4 linked regions of the Caenorhabditis elegans genome follow. The protein of the gene in region 1 purifies or fractionates together with the protein of each later gene. This does not show direct contact. Each region holds a gene or a part of one and is shown on either strand. Other genes may lie near its edges. The genes, in order: drr-2, exc-4, B0222.5 and zig-12.

The links.
Region 2: the proteins of drr-2 (region 1) and exc-4 fractionate together in Caenorhabditis elegans (co-fractionation; one large-scale study listed by BioGRID). This does not show direct contact.
Region 3: the proteins of drr-2 (region 1) and B0222.5 fractionate together in Caenorhabditis elegans (co-fractionation; one large-scale study listed by BioGRID). This does not show direct contact.
Region 4: the proteins of drr-2 (region 1) and zig-12 fractionate together in Caenorhabditis elegans (co-fractionation; one large-scale study listed by BioGRID). This does not show direct contact.

The regions. Positions count from the first base shown.
Region 1 is NC_003281.10:13,640,828-13,646,464, reverse strand, and holds drr-2 (RRM domain-containing protein), read left to right. Parts: upstream 1-2,894; 5' UTR 2,895-2,926; coding exon 2,927-2,947; intron 2,948-2,998; coding exon 2,999-3,082; intron 3,083-3,125; coding exon 3,126-3,324; intron 3,325-3,380; coding exon 3,381-3,700; 3' UTR 3,701-4,045; downstream 4,046-5,637. Other genes in the region: set-16 (PHD-type domain-containing protein), read right to left, coding at 27-672, 1,690-2,130, 2,193-2,269, 2,325-2,426, 2,479-2,484; T12D8.10 (BolA family protein), read left to right, coding at 4,138-4,200, 4,250-4,347, 4,502-4,637; acbp-5 (Acyl-CoA-binding domain-containing protein 6), read left to right, coding at 4,777-4,975, 5,029-5,237, 5,622-5,637.
Region 2 is NC_003279.8:14,511,080-14,521,038, forward strand, and holds exc-4 (Chloride intracellular channel exc-4), read right to left. Parts: upstream 7,641-9,959; 5' UTR 7,637-7,640; coding exon 7,256-7,636; intron 5,539-7,255; coding exon 5,404-5,538; intron 4,108-5,403; coding exon 3,880-4,107; intron 1,713-3,879; coding exon 1,584-1,712; 3' UTR 352-1,583; downstream 1-351. UniProt on the Caenorhabditis elegans protein: May insert into membranes and form chloride ion channels. Involved in the formation of the excretory canal. Required to prevent cystic lumenal expansions in the excretory cell.
Region 3 is NC_003283.11:9,151,068-9,158,111, reverse strand, and holds B0222.5 (BPTI/Kunitz inhibitor domain-containing protein), read left to right. Parts: upstream 1-3,239; 5' UTR 3,240-3,242; coding exon 3,243-3,322; intron 3,323-3,562; coding exon 3,563-3,621; intron 3,622-3,665; coding exon 3,666-3,782; intron 3,783-3,840; coding exon 3,841-3,924; intron 3,925-3,966; coding exon 3,967-4,098; intron 4,099-4,143; coding exon 4,144-4,289; intron 4,290-4,338; coding exon 4,339-4,450; intron 4,451-4,672; coding exon 4,673-4,765; intron 4,766-5,052; coding exon 5,053-5,166; intron 5,167-5,209; coding exon 5,210-5,382; 3' UTR 5,383-5,791; downstream 5,792-7,044. Other genes in the region: B0222.15 (Activin_recp domain-containing protein), read left to right, coding at 1,376-1,463, 1,517-1,577, 1,636-1,696, 2,357-2,497.
Region 4 is NC_003284.9:8,760,667-8,767,710, reverse strand, and holds zig-12 (Ig-like domain-containing protein), read right to left. Parts: upstream 3,805-7,044; 5' UTR 3,803-3,804; coding exon 3,737-3,802; intron 3,691-3,736; coding exon 3,556-3,690; intron 2,775-3,555; coding exon 2,684-2,774; intron 2,637-2,683; coding exon 2,524-2,636; intron 2,379-2,523; exon of another isoform or gene 2,233-2,378; intron 1,850-2,232; coding exon 1,661-1,849; 3' UTR 1,431-1,660; downstream 1-1,430. Other genes in the region: M02D8.5 (CUB_2 domain-containing protein), read left to right, coding at 6,159-6,286, 6,921-7,037.

The sequences.
Region 1 (5,637 bases):
TTATGACACTCATATTTCAATCTTACCTTTTGCAAAAACTCGTCATTGACTCTGCAAACAATAGCCGTACGAATATACTCTGGCTCATCAGATCTTGAGCCGCCAGACTGCCGTGAGCTTTCATCCTCGAGCATCAGCTCGTCGACTTCTCGAATTGCGACCGCCTGTGGGGCCTGCTGGAAACTCGGAACAATTGAGGGCAGCGGATCGGGAAGAGGGGTCTGAAGGGCAGGAGGAGCAGGAGGAGCAGTTGGAGCAACATTTTGATAGGTAACACTGGGTGGAAGAGTAGGAGCAACAGTGGGTTGGGTTGGGTGAAGCTGTGGGGCACCATTGAACATTGGGGCTCCCTGAGCACCGTATTGCACCTGTTGAAGCTGGGCGAGCTGAGCAATGGCGGCTGCACTACCGCGCCCACGGCCACGTCCACGACCCGGTCCCTTGCCAGGCTGACGTGGCACCGACGTGCCGTTTCCTCGTTTTCCCCTCTTTCCACGTGTCGATGATGTTTGTTGCGGTTGGTGAAGGTGGGAGAAATCACCACTCATCGCCTGAAGCTGTGTGGCGGAAAAGAAGCCCGACGGGCCGGGATTCGTTTGTCGACGAGTACCAGTGGATCCTCCGCGGCCTGGTTTTTTCTTGGCGCCTCCACCACGTCCACGTCCGCGAGTGCTGGAAAATATTAATTTTCCAAAAGTTTAATTTAACAAAAGTGTTTTTATAAATACCTTATTTCTTCTATTAATATGGCTGCAATATTTTTCGAAGGTCTCCCCGCTTGCAATACTATTAGGAAGTGCCATACTAATTTTCAGAACATTTTTCTGAGTTGGGACTTTCTAGTTTTTACATGAAAGAATTCCAATTTTATTTGGAAATTTAGAAAATTTGATTGTAATTGCAATAAAAAAGGTTCAATAATTCCAATTTCATAGAACTTTGTCAAAAATTATTGCAAAATAAACATAAAATATAGTTGAAATCTTAAAATTAGTGAGGCCAATTTGCAGGACAAAAGTATATGCAAGACTATTGGGGAGTGCAATACTAATTTTCAGAGGGGGTATGAAGTGCAACACTAATAGGGAGTGCAAGTCTGATACGGAGGTCATACTAATAAGAGAAATACGGTATGTATCGATAAATTTTTCTGAAGTTCAGAATTTTTCTAATTTACTAGGTTAAAAACTACTTTTTAAAAAATTATTTGTGCCAAACTACCAGAAAACTATATTTGTGACCCAAAAAACAAAGAACACCAGCGAAAATTTGAAATTTACAGTAATATATTTCTCGTCGTGGCGAGACCCAAGTAAAAGTGTGCTTCCCTTGAGGAGGCCCCACGAAAAGGGGAGCAAAACGAAAAGGAGAGATATGAAAAGGAGAGCAACGAAAAGGGGATCTGGCACTGTGCCAAACGCTATTTTTCTCGAAGGAAACGATACAACGATGCTCCGATGTTACGTGTGTTGTTAAGCGTATCTTCTATAAGAAAATTTCAAAAATCAACGTGCGTTGAATGAGAAAAAGGCGTTTTGTGCGTTTGGCACAGTGCCAGCTCCCCTTTTCGTTCTGCTCCCCTTTTAGTGGGGCATCCTTTCCTTCAAGGTATTACGGTGTTCCTTTAAGGCTTTAATTCGATTTTCAAACGAATTTTCGTATTTCACGGAATTTTAATCTACGGCATACCTAGCAGGCACGAAATCCTCATCGTAGTCGGAAGCCTCTTGATAAAATGGACTACTATTCCGATCGCTGTCATTCGTACCACCACCATCGCTAATTTCATCCATAAGCTGTGCCTGTGTGGCCAACATCTGCTGAACTTGATTTTGCTGCTGCTGCTGACGTTGTTGCTGCATGGCGGCTATTTGGGTGTACACATCCCCGTTGAAATCCTGACTTCTAGGATAACTGGACGGCAGAGGTGCCGGTTGCATTTGTAGTGAAATCTGGGGAACTGAGGGGTCGCTGAATGGAGAAAGAGGTGCGTCTTGTCCGCGAGAAGGGCGTGCGGAGGCTGAAAGCATCACGTCGTCCGGCAGCATTTGGCTTCGCCGACGACAGGATATGCAGACGAAATTGTTCAGGCTTGAGACGTCGGAAGAGTCGCAGGAGAGATGGTAGCTTCTGGAAAGCAAAAAAAATGTATTTTAATCCGGTGAAAAACAATTGAAAATTCAAAATCTCACTTCCGACAAGTTGTGCACTGCCTCGAATCTGCAGTTATCATTCTTTGGCACGATCCACAGCTGGACGACATGTCACACTGCAAATTTTCTGATTTTAGAAAAAAAAATAGTGGAAAATCGAAAATTTCCTACCTGACGGGCCATATCCAACGACATCGTGCCAGAACGGTTAACATCCATGCAGTTTTCACATAGTTCCGTGTTGTTGAACGCGGTACCGCCACATTCGATGCACTGGAATTTTAATTTTGATGTATAGTTAAAATTTTGAACGGTGAACACTTACAATCATCTTTTGGACTTCATATAGTCGGCTTTCTCGATTTTTGAAGCTTCAATCGATACGAATTTGACTCTAAAATAATTATTATGAGTTATTCCACTGAAAATGAGATAAAAATCGTTCAAACTGCCGCCCATTCTCCTCTAACGGCTGTTGAAAAGGGCGTATCGATTTGTTTGGCATCTTGCCAAGCGTTACATGTCTGCGTCTCTACGCGCTGCGTAGAGCCCCTTGCCATGTTAACGGGGCGGCTACGCATCTCTGCCGCACTGCGTCTCTCTGGCACTGTGCCAATACACCGAATGCCACGCGAGATTGCGGACTGAGAGTTGGAAAAAAATTAAATAAATAATTTGATTTGCAAATATGTATTTTCGAGCTTTCGTGTGTGCGTTTTTAAAGACTTAAATGAATTTCAGAAGACGTCTCACTTGGGGAAGCTTTTCAAGCAATGGCCGATGAGATTTTTAAGGTTAGTGGGTACTTCAAAGCAATGGCATTTTAAATATATCGAATTTTACAGGCATTCATCGGTGGGCTCCCCTATGACTCCATCGCCACTGACATCGAAACTATATTAAAGCACTGCAAGTTCACAGATGAAGAGGTACTGCGGAAAAGCAGGAAATTTCTAATAAATGTTTTTTCAGCTCAAAAAGTTCGATATTCATCTTGTGCACGACAGAGATTCTGGAAGTTTCAAGGGATTCGCATATGTCACTTTTGAGAATGAACAACAGATGAATACTGCTATCAGTGGCCTTAATGGAGCCGATTTCGGAAATCGCGTACTCAAGGTTAATCGTGCCCAACAGCGCGATCGCAGTGACCGCGGAGGTGGTCGTGGAGGTATTTCAGTTATTATTTTATTTTTCTCCGCTCATTTTAACAATAATTTTGCTCAGGACGCGGAGGAAACTTCGGAGATCGCGGAGGACGTGGTCGTGGAGCAGGAGGCTTCCGGCGTGGCGGTGAAGGTGGCCGCTTCAACGAAGGAGAGCGTCGTGGCGGATTTGGCGGCGGAGGACATCGCGGTGGATACCGACAACGTCGCGAGAGCGAAGAACAACACAAAGCCGAGGAAACTTCAGATCCATCAGCTCCGCCAGCAGAACGTCCACGTCTCAACCTGAAGCCCCGTACCACAGATGCCGCTGAGATCGAGGCTCGCAAGAAGCAAGAAGAAGAGGAGACCAAGAGACGCCAGGAGAAGCTTTTCCAATAAACTTTTTTTCGATTTTTCCCTGAATTTCGATCCGCGAATGACACGAAATCCTGCAATCATAGGAGCCTATCCCCTAATTTGTCCCCTCGTCACTTTCCGTCAAGTTCCGCTGGTATAACCATTTCTTCAACCCCTTCTGAATGTCTAATGATCACAAATTACCTCAGAATCCTTTCACATAAAAAGTTTGTTTGTTGTTAAACCCCAAAAAGTCCCAAAAGCATATATTTTCCCCCACCTACTTGTTGTTCTGTTGATTTTACTAGTTATTCCTTTATTTTTCTTTATAGAAATACACTAAAAACATGCGAAATATATGAATAATCAATAAAAAAATATTTTTATACTTTTTTTTTCAAAATCTGGTTTTTGTGTGGTTTTCTCCAATTTTCGTTTCTGCTCAATTTTCAGTTCCTAAATTAAATTTTAATCGACAGATGGCATCACCAGTGGAAAGAGTCAATGCGCTACTCACAGAAGCCATCAAGCCGCAGATTTTGGTGAGTTTTATTGATGTTGTTCATTAAAAAAACCGAAAATTTCTTCCAGAAAGTCGTCGACGAGAGCGGAGGCTGCGATGGATACAAATTTCGGCTTCTCATCGTCTCTGAGGCGTTTGAGGGCAAGTGTACGCTGCAATCTCACCGGTAAGCCTGAAAATGCTGAAAGCTTAGGGTGGATCCACGTACGTGGAAATTAATTTAAACGGAAGAATTTAAAGGAAGTCACAGTCAAGCTGAGCTGGTTTTCCCAACGATTGCACTAAAGTAATGTAAATATAAACTTATTCCAATTTTACAGATTGGTCCAAGCTGCTCTTGCTCCAATCATGGACGAAACTCACGCGCTCACCATCTGCGCCTACACACCTGAAAGATGGTCCCAAATGACGACGGAAGACCGTCAAAATGCCGGTTGCCAGGATTTGGTGGACTAATTTGCTGTACTTTTTAAATGAATGATTCTATTTAATTATTCGCTTTGTTTTTGAATTAAAGTTGGTTATTTTTAATCGAAAAGGCCAGGTCATATTTCTTTGTTTCCGACTGAAATCAGTAGTTACACAAAGTTTCCAGATGATTATTGCATGGGCAGTCTCTTCATTCCAGGACCATCCAAAAAATGAAAATCAAGAAGAAGAACCCATCGATACGCTGCTTGAGGCGAAATTCGACGCGGCGACGACAAGGTTGCCGGGGTTTCTGACAAAAATCGATCAGAAAACTATATTAAAATTCTATGGACTCTACAAGCAGGCTGTAGAAGGTCCAGCAGGTATTTAAAATGGACGATTTTGAAGCTGAGAAACTAAAAGAACACAATTTCAGACTCGAAAAAAGGTCCCTACTGGTTCGAAACGGTCGCGCGCAAAAAGTTCAACTCGTGGCTAGCGAATAGTCAGATGAGCCGGTCGAGAGCTATGGAAGCGTATTGTGAGCTCATGGCTCAGCTTGACACGTCTTGGGATCCGGATGCAGAGACGGTGAAGAAAAGTGGACTGTGGGAGAAGATGCCCAGCACAATGGGTGTTATCGAGGTGAAAAGGATAAAAAATTATTAATCCCCACTTAATCATGCTTTTTTAAATGTATATTTTAAATTTTTTTATGTAGAATAGTACTGAAAACTTGAAAATTGAGCCTCTACGTCTATATTTGGTATCAAAACTACCGTAATGACTTAAAGGAGGGCGACCTCCCGAGACGAGGGGTCTCGCAGCGAGTGGGAACGAATTACTGTAGTTTTTTTAAATGGTTTTTGAAGCTTTTTCCTACTTTTCCCACCAGATTAGAAACCGTTTTAACAAGGCAAACTTACGAAAGATGCAAAAAATTCAAAAAAAAAATTAAAGTTGAGTCTGTGAAATAATAAAACACGTAAAGTTGTTACTAAATACCGTACCCCTCTTATCATTTTTCAGCCAGAAATGTTCGACG
Region 2 (9,959 bases), on another chromosome or scaffold:
GAGATTTTTTCCATTTTTCGGAAAAAAAACACGGTTTTTTTCGCTTTTTTTCATTCAAAAATGATATTTTTGATTTTTCTACAAGAAAATCGGGATTTGTTACTTTTTTCCATAAAAAATCAGATTTCTTTTAAAAATTACCAATTTCCAGAAAATAAACTCGAATTTTTAGATTTTTTCGCCGAAAAATCCAATTTTTGCAGTTTTTAATTCAAATTTTCTGCAGAAATCGTAAAAACGGGGAAAAAAACAGGAAAAAAATATGAAATAAAATAAAGTTAGTTGGAAATCAAAGAAAACCGAGTCCAAAAAAAAAAGCGGAAAATTCAAATTTTTCAAAAAAAAAAAAATCAATAAATGGGGGTTTATTTATTAACAAAATAATAATGGCAAGAGAGATAAAATTCGCAAAAAAAAAATTAGAAAAAAATATGGGGAGAATTGCGTCGAATTTTCAGTCAAAATTGAGCAAATTGGGTATAATTTCAGTCAAAAAATAGAAAAAAAAAGATAAATATATAAATAACGGGAAAATATTATGCTTTTCAAAAAAATCGATCGTTGGTTCTTTTTGTGGAGGGGGAAGGCCGGAATGGAAATAAAATGAGATAGATGTGTGTGTGTGTGTGTGGGTGGGGAGAGAGAGAGAGAGAAGAGAAATAGAGAGTTAGACAGTTTTTTTCGCGGAAAAACATTTTTTTGCTCTTTAAATGACAGATTTTTCGGATTTTTTTTGTTGAAAAAAGTTGGAAAAATTGGAAATTTTGTGAAAAATTTTGGGAAATTCTGGAAATTTAATACATTTCACGTTTTTTTTTGCAAAAAAATTGGAAAATTTTCTGATTTTTCAGATAGAAACGTTGGAAATACTTTGATTATTCCAGTATTTTTGCAAAAAAAAAAATGAAATTTTCAGATATTGCCGGTATTTTTTGGAAAAATCTGGAAATTTTCTGATTTTTTCCGTTTTTTTCCCGAAAAAATTGGAAATTTTGTAATTTTTTTTCGGTTTTAACAGCGAAAATCTGCAAATTTTCTGTTTTATTTCAGAATTTTCAACGAAAATCTGAAATAATCGCTTTTTCTCGTATTTTTTGAAAAAAGTCGGTTTTTTAAAGCGAAAATCTGGATAATGTCTGATTTTTTGAAAAAAAAATCGGAAATTTCCGAATATTCCCGCACTTTTTTTGTTTTGAAAAAATGGAAATTTTCCCAATTTTCGAAGAATTATTTCAATATTTTTTGCGAAAATCTGGAAATTTTAGGCGTTTTTCTGAGAAAACTCGGTTTTTGAATTTTTTTTGCTGATTTTTATGTGAAAATGTGGGAAAAATATATAAAAAGAATAGCCAAAAAAATTGAACAAATTTGCCATTTTTTTAATAGATTTTCATCACATAAAAATCAGCTCCAATTTTTCCAAAATTTTTTGATTTTCTCTTTACAAGAAAAATTCAAAATTCCGGTTTTTTGTGTCAATTCGACGAAAAAATTACCAAAATATGCAATTTTTAGCCGAAATTTTTTTAAATTTTCGTTGAGAAATCTGTCACTTAAAGAGCAAATAGTAGAGGGAATTTAATTTAATGAACATTAACATCGGGAGCAAGTCCTTTAACACGAATATCCGATAGCACTTTTTCCGGAATTGTGTGCGTTTTTGTTGGCGATTGGAGGGTTTCACGTTGATTTGTGAACAGATTCATTTGTTCCTGCAAATTCAGAGAATTTTGGGGTTTAAAAATCACATAAATTGGGAAACGACTACAAACTAGAGTTTTGTTAGCCGCACCAAACTTTTGTTGATTTCGCTGTAAAATTGAAAAATTTACACCAAACATTTTTCAAAAAAATTAATTATCATAGAAGCAAGCGCTCTCCTCAAAGCCGAATAATTATTAGAGCGCGCTTGCAGACCAGGAAAATTAAAATTTTTCGATTTTCTCTTTAAAAAATACCAAATTTCGGCTTAAAAATTGCTAGAATCGTCAATTTTGCTTATTTATTTAGCCTGAAACGAGTTAAAAAAAATAGCACAATTTAAGGAATTTTCGAGGAAAATAGTACTTCTCACGATCTCCTCAAAGCCGATTAATTATTAGAGCGCGCTTGCAGCGCCTCGCGTTTCTGCATCCGGGGTATTTTGTCTTTCCACTGAAAAAATCAGTTTTTTTTTCAGATTTATCGAATTTTTAGCTTTTAAAAATTTTTTCCTGCATTTTTCGAACAAACCGTTTTGTTAAACAGTAAAAATCGAATTTAAAATGACTAAAAGGAACTTTTCTCGTCCACGGGTTGAGAAATGGTTTGAATTTGAAGAAATCAGCGGGATTTTTCGTATTTTCTGAATATTTTCCTATTAAAAATCGGTTGCAAACCATTTTTTGACCCTAACGTTAAGTCACAAATGTTGAATCCAATTTTTAATAGAAAAATATTTAGAAAATAAGAAAAATCCCGCTGATTTCTTCAAATTCAAACCATTTCACAACCAGTGGACGAAAAAAGTTCATTTTAGTCATTCTAAATTCGATTTTCACTGTTAAACAAAACGGTTTGTTCGAAAAATGCAGGAAAAAATTTTTAAAAGCTAAAAATTCGATAAATCTGAAAAAAAAGCTGCTTTTTTCAGTGGAAAGGCAAAATACCCCGGATGCAGAAACGCGAGGCGCTGCAAGCGCGCTCTAATAATTAATCGGCTTTGAGGAGATCGTGAGAAGTACTATTTTCCTCGAAAATTCCTTAAATCGTGCTATTTTTTTAAACTCGTTTCAGGCTAAATAAATAAGCAAAATTGACGATCCTAGCAATTTTTAAGCCGAAATTTGGTTTTTTTTTTGGTCAAAATCGAAAGTGGAAACACTAACAATTTCCAGATTTTCGCTAAAAATATTGAAATAATCAGAAATGTTCCAAATTTTGTTCGAAAAATGGAAGAATTTCCGGGAAAAATCGGGAAAAATTTTTTTTTCGATTTTTTTTTAGATTTTCAATGAAAAAATCGAAAATTCAAGTGCACTATTTCTCCAAAGCGTGAAAAAGTACTAGTTTACACAATTTTTGTCATTTTTCATATAAATTTGGCGTTTAAAACCTCAAAAATGGTGCATTTTTAGTCGCGCCTGTCTCGGTTTTCTCTCAAAAAACCCAACACTGGGGTCAAATTTGCTCAAAAAGTGCAATTTCTGTTGTTTCTATGAAATAAGGCGTGAGCTGTAATAAAAATATTGAATTCTGCATGTTTTGTTGGTTTTTTTAAACAAAAAAAAATTGTTCCTCGGCACCCCTGATTCTGGCTAACAAATCTGTAGTTTGTAGTGTCGAGTCTTCGTAGTTTGTAGCTTCATCCTCACTTTATAGTCATGAATAATGTCCTGATCGGCCGAAATTTGGATTTTTTTCAAGAGAAAATCGAAAATTTTGAATTGTTGCAAGCAAAAAAAAAAAAACATCCTTTTCTGGTCTTTTTGCTATTTCTAAAGACTTTTTCTACACTTTCACATAAAAATTAGCATATTTTTTGAGAAATCAATAGTTTTCTCGTTTTTTTAAAAAAGATTTTCAATGAAAAAGTCGAAATTATTCCCCAAAGCCACAATTTTTGTCATTTTTCATATAAATCAAACTGGAGATATATTATTTAAATAAATTGAATTTTTCCGAAATCTTCTGAACTAAAACCTTTTGGCCATTTTTTCTTTTTCAGAATAATAATTCGTATGTTTTTTCTTATTAAAATATAGACAAAATTAGAATAAAAATTGTATGTTTCATGGCTAATTCGAATTTTTTTTTGGTTGGTTTTTTCAACAAAAAACATTGTTCCTCGGCACCCCTGATTCCGGCTAACAAATCTGTAGTTTGCAGCTTCATCCTCACTTTATAGTGATGAATAATGTCCTGATCGGCGGGACAACTCTCAATAAATGCTGCTGTACGGTATGCAGTGAGGATATAAGCCCAGAGATGAGTGAAATTATGTGGAATATCGAATCCAAGAAGTGACAATCCAATAATTCGAATATGATGAAGACGTGGCATCAGTTCACAGTCATATTCAGTCATACTGTTTCCAAGTAGATATCGAGATTTTCTCTCGGATAGCAACTGCAATAAAATGGGGGCAATTTTTGATGGAATTATGTTGACAAGATGCGATAAACAATATTTATCACAAAAAATTGGGGAAATTGGGAAATTGGGCAAAGTGCCGGTTTGCCAAATTTCCGGCAAATTTGGCAAACTTCCAGAATTGAAATTCTCAGAAAATAGGTACTTTACCGGCGAATCATCGGAAATTTGCATTGCCTAAAATTAAAATTTACGGCAAAATGGAAAATTTGTCGGAATTGAAATTTCCGGCAAATCGGCAATTTGCCGGAATACTAAATTTTTGGCAAAATGCCAGAATAGAAATTTCCAGCAAATCGGGATTTTGCCGGAAAATTGGGGAAAATGTGCAATTACCGGTTTGCTAGAAATTTCCGGCAACTTTGGCAAACCGGCAATTGCGCATATATTTTTCTGAAACTTTTTATGAATTTCAATTTCAAACGGAAAACGCATCCTATGAAGTGTTTCAGTATTATCAAAAATCTTTTTATAAAATTCCGGCAAATTGATATCCGGCAAGCAAATCGGCAGTTTGCCGGATTTTAAAATTTCCGATAGGTTGGCAATTTGCCGGAATAATAAATTTTCGGCAGTTTGCCAGAATTGAGATTTTCCGTTTTGCCGATTTGTTGGAAATTTTCTGTATCGTCAAAGTGTCGATTTGCCGGAAAATTGCCATTTTCCCGTAAATTAAAATTTCCAGAAAATAGGTACTTACCCAAAATTAAAATTTACGGCAAATCGGCAGTTTGCCGGAATTGAAAATTTCCGGCAAATTGGCACTTTGCCGGAATACTAAATTTTCGGCAATTTGCCAGAATTGAAATTTCCGGTAAATCAGTAATTTGCCGGAATTGATCATTTTCGGCAATTTACCAGAATTGAAAATTTCCGGCAAATTGGCACTTTGCCGGAATTGAAATTTTTTGTTTTGCCGATTTACCGTAATTTTTTATTTTCGGCAAAGTACCTATTTGCCGAAAATTAAAATTTCCAGAAAATAGGTACCTCACCGAAAATTGAAATTTACGGCAAAATGACAATTTGCCGGAATTCAAAATTTCCGTTTTGCCGATTTGCCGGAAATTTTCATTCTCGGCAAATAGGTAGCTTTCCTAAACTTAAAATTTCCCGGCAAAATGGCAATTTGCAGAAACTTAACATTTCCCGGCAATCGGAAACTTGCCGGACATTTTCAATTCCGGCAAAGTGCCGATTTGCCGGAAAATTTGCCGAAAATTAAAATTTTCGGCAAATGGGCAATTTCGCAGATTTCTGTGTGTATTTTACCTGATCAATATTGGATAGTTGCTCACAGACTCGATTGTAGTGAACTTTAATCTGTGCTGGAAGATCTTCAACTCTCGATGGCTCCTTTTTTCCCTTATCGAACTCTACTTTTGCTCGCAGGAACAGTTTGAAGTTCTGAAAAATGAGAGGAAATTAGACGGGGGAAAACGTCAAATTTAACTTTGTCGATTTACGCGCGTCGTGAAAAATGGATTTTTTCGAAGTTTTACCAGAAAAATTGGAATTATTTGAAGTTTTTCCGGAAAAATTAATTTTTTTTGAAGTTTTTCCGGGAAAATTGGATTTTTTTTGAAGTTTTTCCGGAAAAATTGGGAAATGTTTCTTTTTTTTTTTTAGGAAAAAACAGAATTTTCCATACTGTTAAGACAAAATTGGACCAATTTCTAAATTTTTTCATCGAAAAAAGGACATTTTTGAGATATCAAGCTGTGTGAAGCCTCGTGTACTCCCCGAGGAGAAGATTTTACGGATTTTGCTGAAAATCAATATTTTAAATCAATTTATTGCAGTTTTCATATTTTCTATGAAATTTGGTATTTTTAATCAGAAAATCGATAACTTAATGACAAAATGTTGCATTTCAGTGAGAAAACCAGAAATTTCTGAAAAAATGCAGTTTTTGGCGGAAAAGTGATTATTTTTCGGTAAAAATTCGGTATTTTCAAAAGAAAATCGAGAATTTTACGAAAATTGACGATTTTCGTGGGGAAACCCTGTTGAAAATTGATGAATTAAATATTTTTCGCGGAAATTTTCAGAGTTTTCGTTAAAAACTTGTATTTTTCGCTTTTTCTAACAAAAATTTTCAATTTTCCCGGGGAAATGATGTATTTTTGTTTCACTGAAAACACTATAAATCAGCAAAAACTGCAAAATGTTCTCCTCGTGGAGTACAAGGCATTTTTTCGCAAAAAATCCATTTTTTGATTTAAATTTTTATAGAAATGTAGAAAATGGGTTGTTCTAGTTGAAAATAACATATATTTTTGTTGAAAATCTTGAAAAAGTCATCAAAACCTTTTAACGGCACTTTTTCGGCTTTTCAAGATTTTCAACAAAGATAAATGTTATTTTCAAATAGAACAACCCGTTTTCTACATTTCTATATCAATTTTAGATTAAAAATTTATTTTTTTGCCGAAAAAGTGCCGCACAGCCCTGAAAACTGGATAATCTTTTCCACGAGGAATACACGATCCGCGTAAATCAACACATTAGGCGTTCGATTTACGCGGATCGTGTACTCCTCGTGGAAAATAAAATTCGTTCTTAATCTAAAATTGATATAGAAATATAGAAAACGGGTTGTTCTATTTGAAAATAACATTTACTTTTGTTGAAAATCTTGAAAAAGACCTCAAATAGTGCCTGAAAGTTGCCGTTTGCCGGAAAAGTGCCGTTAAAAGTTTTTAGATTAAAAAAACTGGGTTGTTTCAAAATGAAAATCACCTTTAATCGGCACTTTTTCCGGCAAACGGAACAAAAATTAATGTTATTTTCATGTGTATGTGATTAAAGGGATTTTCATTTTGAAAGAACCCAGTTTTTTTAATCTAAAAACTTTTAACGGCACTTTTCCGGCAAACGGCAACTTTCAGGCACTATTTGAGGTCTTTTTCAAGATTTTCAACAAAAGTAAATGTTATTTTCAAATAGAACAACCCGTTTTCTATATTTCTATATCAATTTTAGACTAAAAATTCATTTTTTTGACGAAAAAGTGAAAAAAAAGTGCCCCACAACCCTGAAAACTACAGAATCTTTTCCACGAGGAGTACACGATCCGCGTAAATCGACAGTTTCCGGGCTTCTTCTTCTTCCATACACTCACCCTGTACAAGTTCTCTATTCTCTTCTCAGCGGATGGATCCTTTTCAAAGAGTGGAACATTGAATTCCTTTGCCAAATGAAAGATCCGTCCTTCAATCTCTCGATTATCAGTGTATGTCAGCTCTTTTTCCTCTTCAATCATAATCGGTGGTTGTGCTCCGAGAAAGTTCTTCTTAAATGCTTCAGAATTCACGTTGACAGTCTTCACTTCGACTCGTGCAACTCCAATCTCATAAAGAGCATACAACTCCATCCAGAATTCCTGACAGAAAAGATCGGCTCCAATGCGGCGAGCATCAATTCCTGACGCTTTTACGTAGAGCTCGAGAAGAGGTTTTGATTGGGGATCTCCGTTTGATTGGATCTGGTAAGCTTCTGCCATATCTGGAATTAGCGGTGGTTGTTGGAGAGGAAAATTTGGTGAGATAACACAATAAATCCGGAAGAAACAGAAGAAAATTAGTGTATATTTTAAATATATATATATATATATACCACGGCTGGTATATATATATATATATACCAGCCGTGGACCGCACCTTCGGCGCGGCCCCCGACTTCTGGGGCTGAAAATTAATTTTTTATGAAACTACCGTAACCCTACAGTATTCCTACCGTACCACTATTGTACCACTACAGTACCCCGACTATATCCCTACACTAACCCTAACTCACTATCCCTCCAGAAGCCAAAACTTCACAGACTACAAAGACCACATAGACTACAAACTATGGACACACAGAATAAGCGCTTTATATATAGTAAATGATATATATATATATCGAATAAATGGAGAATTTTTAAATTTAGTGAGAAAATATTTACGACAATTGGTGTAAATACTGGAAATTTTAGGTAACAACATCCGTTTTTTACGAATATTTGTTAATTTTCCAATGAATGTTCAAAATTTAGATTTAATAGCTAGTTTTGGGAGTTTTCCACACCTTTTTTTGGATTTCAGCATCAGATTTTAGCATGTTTCTGGAAATTTGTTTCTGGGAATTTCTCAATGAAATTGAAGAAATTTTTTGTTTTGTTACTAGAAAATATTATACAAAGCAAGTTCGAGATAGCTTGAAAACTTTAGTTTCCAGGGGAAATTCTATTACGAGAACAGAAAATTCTGAGAATGCGTACATCGCAACATATTTGACGCGCAAAATATCTCGTAGCGAAACCTACAGTAACCCTTCAAATGACTACTGTAGCTCTGTGTGTGTGGATTTACGGGACTGACTTTCGAGACAATGATATTCAATTTTCTGTAGCTTTTTTTACTGTGTTATTTTTAAAGTGTGCTTTTAATACGCTATCAATTAATAAACGATTTCCGTAAATCGACACAAGCGCTACAGTAGTCATTTTAAGAATTACTGTAGTTTTCGCTACGAGATATTTTGCGCGTCAAATATGTTGCGATGTACGCATTCTCAGAATTTCTTGTTCCCGTAATAAAAAATGAGCCATTGTGGAATTTACTTTCAATATTTCTTACTAAAAATATATTTTAATTTCAGGTTTAAGGTTTTAGTAACAAAAATTGTAATTGTAATTGCAATGGAATGGGGGGTTTTTCAGTAATTCGCAACTTTTAGACGAGATTTGAACACTTTGAACTAAAATACAAGGTACGAGGTATTTTAGTTCTAAAGTGTGCAAAAAACTAGCTGAAAGTTGCAAATTGCGGGAAATCTCCCGATTTTCAGACAAGATGTCCTCCTAAAGCCTTTCAATTGGAATTAAAGCTATATTGAATTAGAAAACCTCATTTTCTATATTCCGTGACAAATATTTTTGGTAAAGAATATTAGAATCACGTGGAGTCACAGAAAGTCTCATTTTGCTTTGATCTTCGAAAAATGCGGGAGAAGAGACGCAGACATCTAATCTGATTTCGCATGGTTAAGTGCGTGCTGACGTCACAATTTTCTGGAAAAATATTCCCGCATTTTTCATAGATCAAACCGCAATGAGACAGTCTGACACCACGTGTAAAAGATTTAAATTGCTTCGCAAAATTTTTTAAAGTAAAATTAAGTTTTTCGGTTAGATTCTGCGATTTCTATATTTCGTGATTAGATTTTAATGAAACAACATGCCAAAATGGCTCTTTTAAAAATTATGTCGATTTACGGCTTAAGTACACATTTTTCTGATAAAAAATGCCAAAAAAATCGAAAAAAAATTATGAAATCGTCCAGAAAGTCAGCAGGTACATGGTCTCGCAACTTGTTAATTGACGAGACACCCCCCGAACGGATCGAACAGAGAGTGTAGAGACCCCAGAGAAAACCGTCCCCCAAATAAATGTCCAATTTGGAAATCCCGCAGTGTGTAGAAGTAGAAGAAGAAGAAGAGAAAGATACAAATACATCTACACTAGACACTAACATATAATACATACATACATACAATCATAAAAATTGTGGAGACGTCGGTCGGTCGGTCGGCGGGTGCTGCTGTTGGTGGTGTAATCGGAAACGAATCACACAGAAACGGTTTATGCGATGCGATTTATTCATAAAATATATATATGTGAATAGTATGCGAGATTCCGAAAACTAGATGCCGTCAGGTGAAGAGTGGCATTTCTGGAATTTCTATTGACGTGGTGAAATTGATCGATATACGTCATTTTTCAGGCAAAAACCCAGAAATCAGTTGAGAAAAGTCTGCGTCTGAATTCCCGCATTTTTTGTAG
Region 3 (7,044 bases), on another chromosome or scaffold:
CTATTGAGAATTGAAAACTATCCCTAAAGGTATTTTGGCTTCCTTTTGAATGTTTTGTTTTTTCACGGCTGCAAGAAATACATGTTTACTAACAAATGTAAATGCGCAAAACATGCCAAGAACTTTTCCACAGCAGAATCCCGATTTTGGATCATTTTACCAGGAAAAATTAAGCCATTCTAAACCTCAACAAGAATCACAAGCACGTGACAATATGTAGCGATTATCAAATTTCAAGCAATGTTTTGCATTTCAGTATACACTAGAACTTCAATTGAATTGTTGAAAACTTAATTTAGAAAAATTGAATCAATCAAGATATGCAACATTTCAAAGGTTCATTCATCCTTCTCACAGAAAACTTTTCTCATTTTTCCCCAGCACATATTCTTCTTCTTTGAACCAAGCAAGTTCTATCCAATTAGAGGAATCATTTGCATATTGCTCAAGAGAACCTGGAATATGAGACGCAGACTGAAAAGAAAAAGGCGGAGAACGGAAGGCACTTCATAGTGTTTTGGCACCACGTTTAAGAGCCTCGGAGCTTCACCCACAGGAGCCATTGGAAAATATCAAAACAAAACATCTTTAACCCCTGGGTGCTTCACTCATTTTTTGGTTGCAATTTCTAACCTCTTTTTTTTCTCTTTTTACAAAACCGGGAGGCTCGTTTTTTAATCCATTATTCACATTGTTTTCAGTTCAATGAATTCATCACAGAGTACAATCCAGAAAGAAAAAGAGAAAAAAGAAGACGAGGAGGTGTTGGAATTCTTTTTTTTTCTATTTCTGGGTTTTTTGTTTCGAGTTTGAAACTGCAAATATTTTGAACAAGTTTTAAACCTATTTTTCTGCATCTATTCGTTTCAACTTTAATTTTTTACAAACATTTGCTCATAACTCCTTCATATCCGACTATCATACATTTGATTAAGAGTTTCTAAGAAAAGAAAAAAATTAAGAAAAAAAAAAAGTAAAAACTAGTATCCTAGGAAACTTTGACAGCATGTCAATATTATAGGCGGACAAAATTCTCAAAATGAATTCTATATGTGATATTGCAAGGGGTTTTGAAAATTCAAATTAGAAACATTTATAAAGTGAAGAGACCTGAATAAAGCAGGTTTTCAAATTACAAAATATCCGCATCATAAAAACCATACAGTTCAAACAAATTGCCAACAACTAACCAAAACTTGAACCAATTCCTTCACACTAATGGAATTAGTGTTTGTTCTTATTTTGTTTGATCTAAAACTATATTTACTTATTCCTTTTAAATTCAACTCTTCATCTCAAACTCTGTGGAAATGACACTCCTAAAAAGTTAAATTTCAGTTGAACTCCGTATTAAACCAAGTGAACGGAAACAATTATGAGCGTGCACCCTGTCATTATCTGTCTTTTCATTTTCTTTTTCATTTTGCCGCCTTCTGCAGATACTACTGTGAAGTGTTTTAAAGGTACGTTGAATGAGCAGAAGAGCATTTCGTGTGCGTGACGAGTGATTCTTTAGGGTTCTCGGGAGATGGAAGGCCGTTCAAACAACGTCTTTGTCAGACAGAATATTGCATAAAGTGGGTTGAAAGAAGAAAAAGAAAAGGCAGCAAGTTTATTGGAATTTTCATTTTGCAGAACGACAGAGCCAACTGGCGGAGCTACTTACGGATGTGATGACTTTACGCCGTTTTGCAAAGTGAGCGAACAAAACGAGTTTGAAATTGAAAGAACAAATGTGCAAAGTGAAAATCAGAAAAAAAATTGTCGAAAAGATTGAATGTGGCGCAGCCCTGGTGTAGATTTTCTGGAAATTAATTATAAAAACCATACTCATTGAAAGAGCAATGTCAACTTTAACAGAAAACAAATACTAGAAGCGGACAAAACCCATATGTAGCGGACAAAGCCCAATGCTACATACTGTAACTATGGAAAAATAACGGAATACACTTTCGCTTGTAGAAAATGAGTGGGGTCAATGCCGGTTTTATCTAAATGTATGTATTGTCAATTTGCCAAAAAATGACCAACAGTGAATAAAAATCACAATAAGGATTATTTAAACTTAAATTTAAAAACAGCGTATTTTTCTATCGTCTGACACTTAACAATGGTTCCGGTCTTTGAAAAAAATATTAGAAAAATACATTCCTATATGTTATACTTGAAGCTCGATTCCCGTATTGTTTCTCAAAAGTATAATTTATGATTCTTAGTGATAGAAATTCATTCTAGAACGTTTTGTTGTTTTCTTATTCTAAAAACTCGTGAGTAACGTTTTCTTCCAGTGATTTCCATAGAAACTTCTAGACTTTTCTATTCTTTTAATCTTTTCTCAATGTTTTCTTTTTTTCAGAAAGACGAATGCGTGGTCACTTCGAAACAAAGTAAAGTCTGTTGCTGTAATACTGATCTGTGTAACTCTTCTCCAATCACTTTCTGGCCTGTGTCTCTACTATTCTTCATTTTATTTTCTTATTTTATGTCTAGTTATTAGTTTGAACTTTATTTATTTAAAAAAATATTCCGACAAAAACGGGTTATTTTCTGATGATTCACTTCTTTTCCCGAATAAATGTTTTTTCAACTAAAGGTAATTCTGTTAGTCAAACCAAATTTATTGGTGTAAAAACGAATCCAAAGAGAATAAGAGAATGTACCAGTTTTATCGATTGATCATTGCATTCTAGTAGTTGACATAATATGATAAAAAGGAAGTAAACCTTTTTTTTCGTTTTTCGTCGAACAAAGATTCGTTCAGCAATTGATTCCTTTTCTTGTTCTCAACTAGCACTGATACTGCTTAGTTTTTTCTTTTGAAAAAAGATACTGTTTCAATTTTTAATCTTTCTTGATTTTTTGAATCTTCGGAGAGAAGAAAGAATATAACTTGGCTTTCATATCCTAAGAAAATTATTTTTTTCTCGAATTTTTCCTTTATTTGAAATATTTTTGTTAATGTTTCCAAATATTTGTGAACACTTTTTGATTCACCTATTTCATATGCACAGAATTTATGTACATAAAAATAACTTACATAAAATTTCATCGGCGAGTGATGAAAATAACCAAAAGCCAGTAATTCCCAAATACAATAGATCACTCAATGATCAACTCATAGCTCTTACTATTTTTTGTTCTCGAAAATCAAATAATGTTTGTTTCACTAACTAGTTATTATTTACCTTCATTCATTTCCTCGTTTCAATCATTCCTTCGAACGCAATTTTTTGATTTCCGGCATGCGAGCTTTCTGCATAATATTACTTGTTGGATTCACCCAAGTCAATGCTCTGTTTGGAGACAGATTATTACGAGCCAGGTTAGTTCTTTGGAACAAAAATTGTTAGGCACAATTTATGAAAAACCAATTTTGAAATAATTAGAACCCTAGTAAGTGAAAATATTTTTCAACAGTTCGGTGTCCACTATTAAAAAAATAACAGTTTTGTTTAAGAATTTTATATTAATAAAGTGTTGAAGCAACTGGTGGAAATTTTAATTTTTCAACATTACTTTGCTTATTTCAAATTTATTATAAAAATGTAATATTTTATTACAGAAACCCAAAAACTGGACCATGCACGTTGAATGATGATGGACTAAAATGCAATGAAAATGGTGATTCTAAACTTTAAATTATATTAATTTATTCATAATTTTAGGATACTATGAAACTGTACAATGTAACTCTGAATCATGTTATTGTGTTACTCCTCACACTGCACTTGTTGCATACGACACACGAACCAACAATCCGAAAACCGCGCCAAAATGTGGAAGTAAGTAGAGACCATTCAATTTCCTAAGTTTTCCCAAAAGTGACGTTTATCGTTTCAGCTTGCCTTGTTTACCTCCAAAAGCTGTTTGCCGACGGAGATCCTCCAGAAAATAGTTTCGTACCAAAATGTGACGTCGGAAAAGGTATGAAAAAATAATGCTAAAGATAAAATATAAGTATTTAAGGTGATTTTGAGCCTGTACAATGTGACAGTAAGAAGAACCAATGCTACTGCGTGGACACAAATACTGGAAGAGAAATACAAGGGACACGAAAACCATTGAGTAACACAACAAAGATGAATTGCATGCAAATTGGTAGTTCAAAATCATGAATAATTTAAAATAATTCGATAATTTCAGATTTCTCCATCGATTCGTCAGCATTCCCCGCTTTTGAAAAACCAGATCCTGCCAAACCGAAAAATGATCAACCGATTGGAAAACCATGGTGTGCAAGTAACAGAAATGCTGGACATACATGCAATCAAAATAAAACTTCGATAAGAGTAAGTTGATTTTAAACCTAATAAAAAATCGGGCAAATATTTTTTTTAGTACTGGTTTGACGTTGAAACCTTCCAATGTTTCCCATTCGAACACAAAGGCTGTGGTGGAAATCAGAACTCCTATAGAACAAGTAGTGAATGCTATTTTGACTGTGTCTTGCGTAAGTTATCCACGTATTGTTTTCATGAATATAAGTGACGTTCACCAAGGAAAATGATCACAAGTAGGCCTATGGTACCAAAAATTGTAAAATGTTTCATACATTTTTGACCCAAAAGTTTGAAAACTCTGAGCCCCTCATTGACGTATTCAATTTTTAACTCAAAAATTCAATTTTTAACTCAAAAATCAAATACGATAATTGAATGCAGTTTTATTTCAGAAGACTACTTCAGTTGTGCAATGCAATCACAACCAGCTAGAAAGTCGAATGGACAATGGTATTCTTGCCCAGAAGGCCCAGATGGTCCACCAGGTATGTTTTGAGATTGATGGTTTTTTAATAAAACTTTCGAACTTTCTACTGCATAAATAATATTTGAAAATTAGCTACAAATTTTTGTGGTGAAAAACGAAACTTACAATTCCGGTTTATAAAATGTTATTTTTTATTTCATTTAAAGGATCCTGTTTTTCGGATCTGAGCTGTTTAAACGTTAGAAATACAATGTTTTAAAAACGAGTATTAGTTAGTTTAAAACTTTATTAAAGTAATAATGAACATTAAAAAAACTAACTGAAATATTGCTTCATATTTTTCAGGCTTCAAGACTACTACAACTCCAGGCCCAAAACTAACCTCTGATGGTTGTCCAAAGGGATATATTTGTTCTATGGGAGCATTCTTTGGTATTTGCTGCGAGGAGAACTTGACAAGTAAGTAATCATATTAGCGACAACCAAAACACAAAGTTTCCAGATCGCTACCAAGCAGCATTCAAACCATTATGCAAAAACAAGAAAGAAGCTTTGCAAACGAAACAGGACGATTGGTCGAGTGCAATGCTCGGAAAATCATGTTCCGATAGATTCTGTCCAAGCAGTCATACTTGTGAACATAACGAGTTTTTTGCATATTGTTGTCCGCGTTAATATGTGTGTTTTGACGTTTGTTTTCTTGCCCATTCGAACCGCCCTTCAATTCACATTCTAATTCAGGTTGTAATAAATAAGAAAAAGTATTTGTAGTTCTTTTGTTTTTCACAATGATATGTAATGTATATTAAACGACCTTTCATCTCTTCTGTCCTTTTCTTCTGTGTTGGTTTTCCACCCAGACAAATTGCCGGCCCCCTACTTTAAACGTGTCTTCTCATAGCATTGATTATTGATGCCTATGTGATATCAATATCTTTTATATTCATTTTCCCTCCTAAAAGAAATATGTTCAGAAAACTGCACCGAAACAAAGTCTTCGACCATACTAGATACTTGTTGATTTCTGATAGTGTCCTGTTCACCCCATAAAAATGTGTTAAATGCAGCAAGCAACAAAGTATATTTGTGATTGAAATTTGATGCGAATAGAATTTAAAAATAGAGTGATCACAGTTCTAGCAGAAAACGAATTTTCACAAATGAATCGGAATGATGACTTGGTCTATTTGAATTCGCTCAATGTCTCCGCAGACATGATGTGTACCCAAAAATGACTTGATTGATGATTTCACAAATGTTCCAGTTTAGTTTCGTGCTTTATGTGGAATATGCTACAAAACGCTAAAATACGATAATCGAAGGCTTCAAAACTAAACTGCGGTGGACTTTTCTAGCTCGAAATATGCAACTGAAACAGTTGTTGGGCTATTCTTTGCTCAAGAAAAAATTATTACGGCACAACAACTGTAATTTTTTTTTCTAGAAAAAAATTCATTTGAAAAATGGACGCTGATGAAAAAGTTATTAAATGAGCCGCGTAACTACATTGAAAAAATGTTAAACGTATTTTCAGAAATTGTTTTGTTAAATTGTAGAAAGAAGAATAATCAAAAATAAAACTCATAGTCAGGTAACTTTTTTTTGAATATTTTAAAGCAGAAAACGAAGGATCTCGTTTAAACTTATCAAGATTGTTTTTTGATGTCTTAGTTCAGTGTAGTTCTCTAAATAAAACAAGAAATATAGGTTTATCCGTATGTTTGCAGAAAATTAGTTCAACAGATCAAATGTTCATATTAACGTGACTTTTAAAAACATGAAAGACGGATCAGTTCAAAGTACGTTTCCGAAGTGAACACATGGAGATATTCAAAGTACATGCTGATCAAAAGAGCTTGAAATTAAAATTCGAAAATGTTCAATTGCCCTATATGCAAATTGAGAAAAACGTGCAAGTGGGGATCTTGTTAAAGATTTTGTTGTCTTAAACTTCCAGTCAAAATTTTGGCGGATTGCCAAATTTTTAAACAATACAATCTTTTAAGAAAATAAAAAGCAATGTCACATGTTCCACTCCTAGAATTTTTTACACGAATAAAAACAAAATTATAAAATTCGTAAATCGTAGAAATAATTTCTTTTGGTCTATTTCCAAAATTATTAATGAAAAAAATTGGTAATTGTCACTTTTTGACAGTAACTAAAAATTTTCCAACAATAATTTTGAAGGTAATTTTGAAACCATAGCAGTAGTTTCATATACTTTCCTCACTTGTGCTGCTCCTCCTTTAAAATGATACAGTCTACAAATCGAAGAGACTTCGAAAAATCGATAAAAGTTCGAGCAAAAACTATTAAAAACATTTCGATTTGAAC
Region 4 (7,044 bases), on another chromosome or scaffold:
ACCGCAAAACAATAATGTCTTACTAAAGTAAATTATATATATTTTGAAATTATTTTTTACTGTGTAATCTATGTTGAACCGTTCGCCGTAAAATCAAATAATTTTCAATTCAAAACAGGCAGCCGGTTACCAATTTTTTTTTGATTTTCGGGGTTATGTCTTATTAGATTGTTTTCAACTTGATATAAAATTAGATATTAAAATTTGCACACGTAGATTGCAGATTCAAAAGCGGCATTCTCAAAGTGATAGCAAAAATGTTGTTTCAACTGAAGTAGTCTAAATTGGACTAGGTAAACTTTTGCCCGTTGGATGATTTTCAATATTATTTTGTTCTATGGTTTTATTTTGTTAGATAAACACTAGAGTTTACAAAAATTGTTGAAAAACTAAAATGATAAAGCACTATCTACTATCTGCATCACTGAATTACAGCAAAGACACGTATATACAGTGCTGGCCAAAAAGATATCCACTTTCTGTTTTTTGATGATTTCGATATTTTTTCCATTGAGCATAACTCCAAAACTAGGAAAGCTATCAAAAAAAGTTTCAACTGGTAAAATGTAGCTCGTGATCAGGCCTATGTATTTTTACATGATTAAATTATTCACCCAAAACATGGCAAGTGATAAAGCGGCCGACATCTCGTGAGTCCGCTTTTGATGATGATTACTAAAACGACTGTAACTCGAGAAACATATTTTTAATGGAAGGTTTTTAGAAAGTAACACGATGTTTATATAATTTTTTATTGTTTGAACATACTAACTTCGTCCTGAAACCTCCATTGAAAAAGACAAGAGAGTTTAAAGAAGAGAAGTGTAGAGTAATCTCGAGCTCATGTCTCAAAAATAGTAGATTTTTTTTTCTGAATTCTGTTTATTGGTTAATATGTAGTTCAAATATAATAACAACATCAGTTCTTCACAAAAATTGTCGGAAAAAGATTTTCAATCCAAGAAACCTGATTTTTGAACAAAGCCTCTAAACAGTGTCTAATGAGACACTAGTTTCAGCGCACACATTTTTTTAAATGGAGGTTTTAGGACAAAGTTGATATGTTCAAACAATGAAAAATTAAATAAACATTTTGTTACTTTCTCAAACCTTTCATTAAAAATATGTTTCTTGAGTTACAGTCGTTTTAGTAATCATCGTCAAAAACGGACTCACGAGATGCCCGCCGCTTTATTACTTGCCATGTGATGGATGAATAATTGCAACATGTAAAAATACATAGGCCTGATCACGAGCTACATTTTACCAGTTGAAAATTTTTTGGTACCTTTCCTAGTTTTGAAGTTATGCCCATTGGAAAAAATATCGAAATCGTCAAAAAACTGAAAGTGGATATCTTTTTGGCCAGCACTGTATATATATATATTGATTTCTGTACTTGCAAGTATATCTTCTCATGTTCAATGTGTCAAGAAACTTTTTTATTTTGGCTGATACCAATTCATGTGCATGGGACACAAAGTTCAAATTACTTTGAGAAGACAAATACTACAAAACGTTAAAAGTTACAGAAGAAAAAAAAGCGGAAAGTGCAACTACCAAAATCGAAAATCAGAAGCAACGATTAACATGAAAATTGATTTGAGGCTTTATGAATTGAATTGTATGACAATTAAAAACCAAGGGAAAATTTATAAAATTAATCGAAAACCAAGTTCAACGCTTGTTGGTTTTGTCCTTCGGAGTTCTTGACAACGCACTTGTATTTTGCTTCATCGTCTTTTTGTGGTCCGGTGATTTCGAGTAGGAATTGGAATCCGTCTTTGTCCTTATCGTCCTTCTTTACAACAGCCTTAACTCGGTCAGTGAATTTCACTGGTTTTTCATCCTGGAAGAATGAATTAGTGAAAAATATGAAATTTACTTTTTTTCTGTTAATTTAAAAATGATTTATACTAGACGGTCGTTCAGAAAATTTTTTCCAAAACAAGTTTGTTAATTTTATTTATCAAAGCATTCCAAAAAAACTCAAACTTGGTTCCAAGCATGCCCATTGAAATGTTCATTTTTCATTTTTCATTTTACATTTTGAACCAGACAACAAGTGAATTCTTTTAATGTTTATTGAACCTTTTTGCTTTTAGTTTTTTGCGCCATTTCTCTTTTTTGTTCACTACTCAAAACTTCGCTCTATCTGCTCCATGAGCCTCAAGTATCTGTCTCGGCACAACCCAAAGGCGCGGACGAGGAGGCCTCCCAACTTTTGTCTTATTTCCACACTTCTTTACATTACCCATCTCTGCCTTTCTATTTTGAATCCCCTTGAGAAAGCCGGAGAGGTTCACTTCGACTAACATAAATGTGGAAATTAGGACAACTACATTTTTTTCTTCGGTGGAAGAAAGAAGACAAAAGAAAAAAGACACGTCAGTCAGTCGATCCATCTTCGAGAAGCTCTATTCTGGTTCAACCAAAATGAATTTAGCAATGCCAAGAAAAATACCGAATAAGAATTCAGGGAAATTTTTTCCCCTAAGATTCAAAGTAAGGTGACAGACATACCTTGAACCATTCGGCCTTCATCTCAAGGTGGGACTTTGCGCGGACCTTAATCACAATCACATTTCCGTTATCTCTTTGAACAATATGTGGCTTGTCATGGAAGTCTGGGGCGTCTGAAATTGTATGTGTAAGCTTTTAGTGTTTTTGATAATGAGCTCACTTCCTGCTGCGACTGTGAAGTTAGAGCTGTTCTCTCCATCGGCGTTGGCAAAGACGGCTTTGTATTCTCCGGCAAGTGGTTTATCAAAGTCCTATAAAATGATGATTTAAAGAAGCAAAAAGGTGTTTTGTTAACAGTTAAAATTCATAATTCCGATTATTTTTTATCACAGGTAAAGCGGGATTGCTCAGAAGCGGCCCAATGGCAGCTGATAAAATCGTTTTTGTGTTCGGAGTTTTTTTTTAAGCTTAGAAAAACGAAATTTGCGACCGGGGCGGTCGACAATCGGCTTATTGGCTGACATGGAGACAGACCACCGGCGGACATCAGTTTTTTTTTTCAGTCTGCGGCATTTTGGACCGTTGGACAGTTTTTCAGTTGCTTTTCCGTTTTACCAGTAATGTAGCTTATGTGGTTTGTTTTTCAACTACTACTATCATTAGTAACTTTTACAATTATAGTTCCTAATGTGAAGTTCAAACTGCACGGCTTTTTTTAATGTTTACTGAATTTTCAAAATTACAGTTCACGTTATTGATGTATATTTAATGTGAGATACGAAAAAAATAAAGAATATAGTAAAGTAAAAAGTATTTTGTAATGATGAATGTACTTAGAGTTTCCTTTTGATCAAATGCTTAACCGTTGTTATGTTTTGCTTTTCACCTCCCGACCGACAGCTAATTCTGCTTTTGCCGCACTTTTGCCCAAAATCTACGGTAAGTCCATCAAAAACCAATTAAACGCAGATCAAAACACATACAGACAACAGTTGCAGAGCGCATCGCAGCAATGGGACCATAAAATGACTCGTGAGTCGTTTTATGTGATTTATACGAGATGCTTTGGCAAACAGTTGCTCTCAAACTGACCTTGATTTCGGCAACAAACTTGGTGCGGTTGCCTCCTTCGTCACTGTTTGAGAACTTCAGGAACTCGTTCTCCTCAAGCTCGTCTGGTCCGAAAAACCACTGAATCTTAGAAACATCAGCTCCAGTGACGATGACCTGGAAGAAAACTTAGCAATTTTCAAAAGGAAAAGCAAATTCGTACCTCAAGGAACACCGACCCGTTCTCTGATCTAATTTTTGGTTCTCCGTAAATTGATGGTGGTGCCATATCTGAAAAAATTAAAATCTGTAGTTTTATGATTGAATACGAAGCCATGAATATACGGAATCTCGGTAACCTAAAGTTTTACACACTAAAAGAAAAGAGGGGCGTGTTTTCTGATCAGGTAAGAGCGCCGCCAAGAGCGAATGAAAAATGATCTGCCAATGTGTTTTTACCATCATTTATCCATTGAGTTCACAGGAAAATAGGAGACGAAAGACTTCTTGAACGGTAGTTCGTAGTGGCTTTTGGGTGGGAGAACTAAGCAAACAATGTTTTATGTTCTCAATGAACAAGCACAAGTAGGGGAATGTTGGAGAAGATCTAGACAAGATGTGTCAACAGTATTTTGAGGGAAAACACTTTATAATGCTGAGAAAAAAAAGAAAAAGGCAAAAAGACCAATGGTTGAAGGTTGAAAAATGCTTCGAAAATTGAATCACTGGTTTTTTGTACATATAACAGTTGATTTTAGTCATGTTTTTTGTGCATTGAGATCAGCACTCAAGAATAAATTTAAAAAAAACAAATTTGAGAGGAGAACAAAAAATATGAAGAGGAGAAAAATGATGTCTCGCTTGTAGTTTCCAACTGACAAAAGTGCCAAGAGGTCGCTGTTAGAGTCCCATTTTCCCTTTATCTTTTTCTCTGTTTCACGAAGGTGTTGTAATTTCTACTTCTTCTGCTGCTAAGCTCTTTCTCCGCCTCCTGGTCGCTAGTCGGAGAACGAAACGACGAAAAAAGATGGGAAAGATGAATGTCCCGGGAGCCCCCCGGAGCTGCCCACAGATTTTGCGGAGGAGGAGAAAGGTGGATGGGATGGCACTTCCCACCTAACTCTTCATTTCTCGTCGACGTTGAAGATCCCAAAATTTTTACAAAGTTCTCAATGAAGAGCTGCAGGGCGAAGGCAAAGTTGACGAGACACGCTTCACAAAGGATATTTGAGAGTATTTTGAAATCGGAATCAATGAGCAATTTGGGAACGGATGGAAATGACGTCGCTGGTTGTTGTATGAGTATTAAGGATTTCAAAAGTTGTTAAATGAAAATGCCACTTTGAAACTGAGCAACTCGAAAGCAATGGATTTATAGACCTGTCACAATAGGACGATCATGATGTGCACATTTTTGCAAATCGCGGCGTGCGCATTGTGCATGGTTTCATTGATGATATCTGCATTGTACGTTCATAATGTCAATTCTTCGCGGTTCTTTATGACCACATTGCAATTCAACTATGTAGGTTTAGCATTGGGTCAAAGAACAATTTAGTTGATTGGCCTCATCTTACAATAAGCTGCATAATTTCCTATTTAGAAAGAAACCAGAGAATAAGCTACCAGACTTGGCCGAATAGAGCAATGTGGAAAACGATATAGGACACTTAAATGCCCCAGTCGCGTTAAAAATTAAAATATATTGCCTTTCTAGGTCTCAAAATGAGATGAATCCCAAAAATGGTAAAAACATAAGCTGACAATTTTTCAGTTAAAAACAAATTATTTTATAATAAACTTATATGAACCAAACTGTTTTCATTCTTACTTTTTTCTATCCAACACCTTGTAAGTTTTCCATATTGTAATTCAGCAGTGGAACTCCACATTCAATCTGAAAATCATGTATCAAAAGATCAAATATTATGTTTCAGAGAGTTCAAAGAGTAAGAGTGATATTGTATAAAGATGCCGAGAGTGTGTGTAATTTGAAACTTCGGTACGTCAGGGAATACCTTTCTCAAATTATTTTTCAAGTGTGTAATTCAAATATTTTCGCATGAAAAATATTTTGTAGGAGCAAGAGATACAAAAGATAGAGAAAAGAATCACTTTGTTGTGGTTTGCTTTATTTTTCTTTCTTCAATTTCAGATCGAAATTTTGTAGATTGCACTTTGTTTAAGTTGCTTCCAGTCACTGGGTAGAAGCCGATCTCATTTTTCCCATATCTTCAACACTTCAAAGGTACCATTGGAAAATAATTGGATGACGCACTCGTCTGAGACATCTGGATTTCTAATGGCTTACACTTTCTCATCCTTCATTTTTTGTTTCAACGTTAAACTACATCGAATTTGAGATCTGAAGCAGAAAATCATAAAAATTAATGATGGAATTTCAAATAAACTTCGAAATTTAAGTATTGTTTGTTATCTTCAATGTGAGCAAAAAATTCAATTTAAACAATTCAATTAAAAATATAATTCTTATTCAAAAAAAAACATCAGTAAATATAACAATGTAACAAAGAGAAAAATCGTTAAAAGTTTGTGAGCATAGAAACATTTTCAATCAACACGATGTGCGGTTTTCCTATCAGTACTGTCATTTTTTAACTGTTCGTGGTTGGCTGGCAACACAAATGTATACAAAACTAAATTTGATTCCTTTATTTTTCATCATTTTTTTCCGGACCTCAGTTGCTTTTCAAGATGGTATCTTGTTTTCCACACCTAATTTTCCACAACCATACACTGGACAATTATCAGAGTAAGTATTTTCAACACAAGATCTTATTACTTAGTTACACAAAAAACACCTCTACCTCCGCCACATGAACTTGATAGACCAAACATTTTTGCGAAAGTCCATCAATTATCATAAATTGATGAGATATTTTTCGGAACTGATATCCGTTTCTCTAGTCAGCAGCTATTCGTTTTGTGATAATAGTGGTGTGCAGTCTCGATTGAAAATACATTCCTGCGGAGAGACTTTGTCACGTTCGATGCCAGTGATTAGGTTATTGATGAGTGATTGTTGGTAAAGTGCAAAGCACATTTTTCACAGGGGGAATAACAAAACGGTCTACAACAATTTTCTCTGAACTTGTAATTCAAAACCCTGGGGATCCGGATGGTTTTCATCGAACGAAATGAACTTGAGAGGTCATATTTCAAAAACGTATAAAAAAGTATCGGTACTTGTGGATTATGTCCTCGGACTAAAAATTTGTTTATGGTTGAAAAACTGACAACGTGGGAAATACTTTTGTAACAGTGAGCGTAGGCAAAATGTAATTTCGAATGTCACGTTTGTTTAAACCATTTTTGGTGAATGCTTATATTTGAATAGAAAAACGTAAAATAACGTTCCGCTGATGTTTTACTCTTTTCAATTCCAGACGGCGAAGTGTCTCTGTAAACGAAACTCAGGGAGTTGCAGTTGTTTTCGAGCAGTTTCTTGCAAGTGCACACGATTGCGTTATAGCTTGTCCTACTAATAATGACGGCTGTTCGAGGTATGTT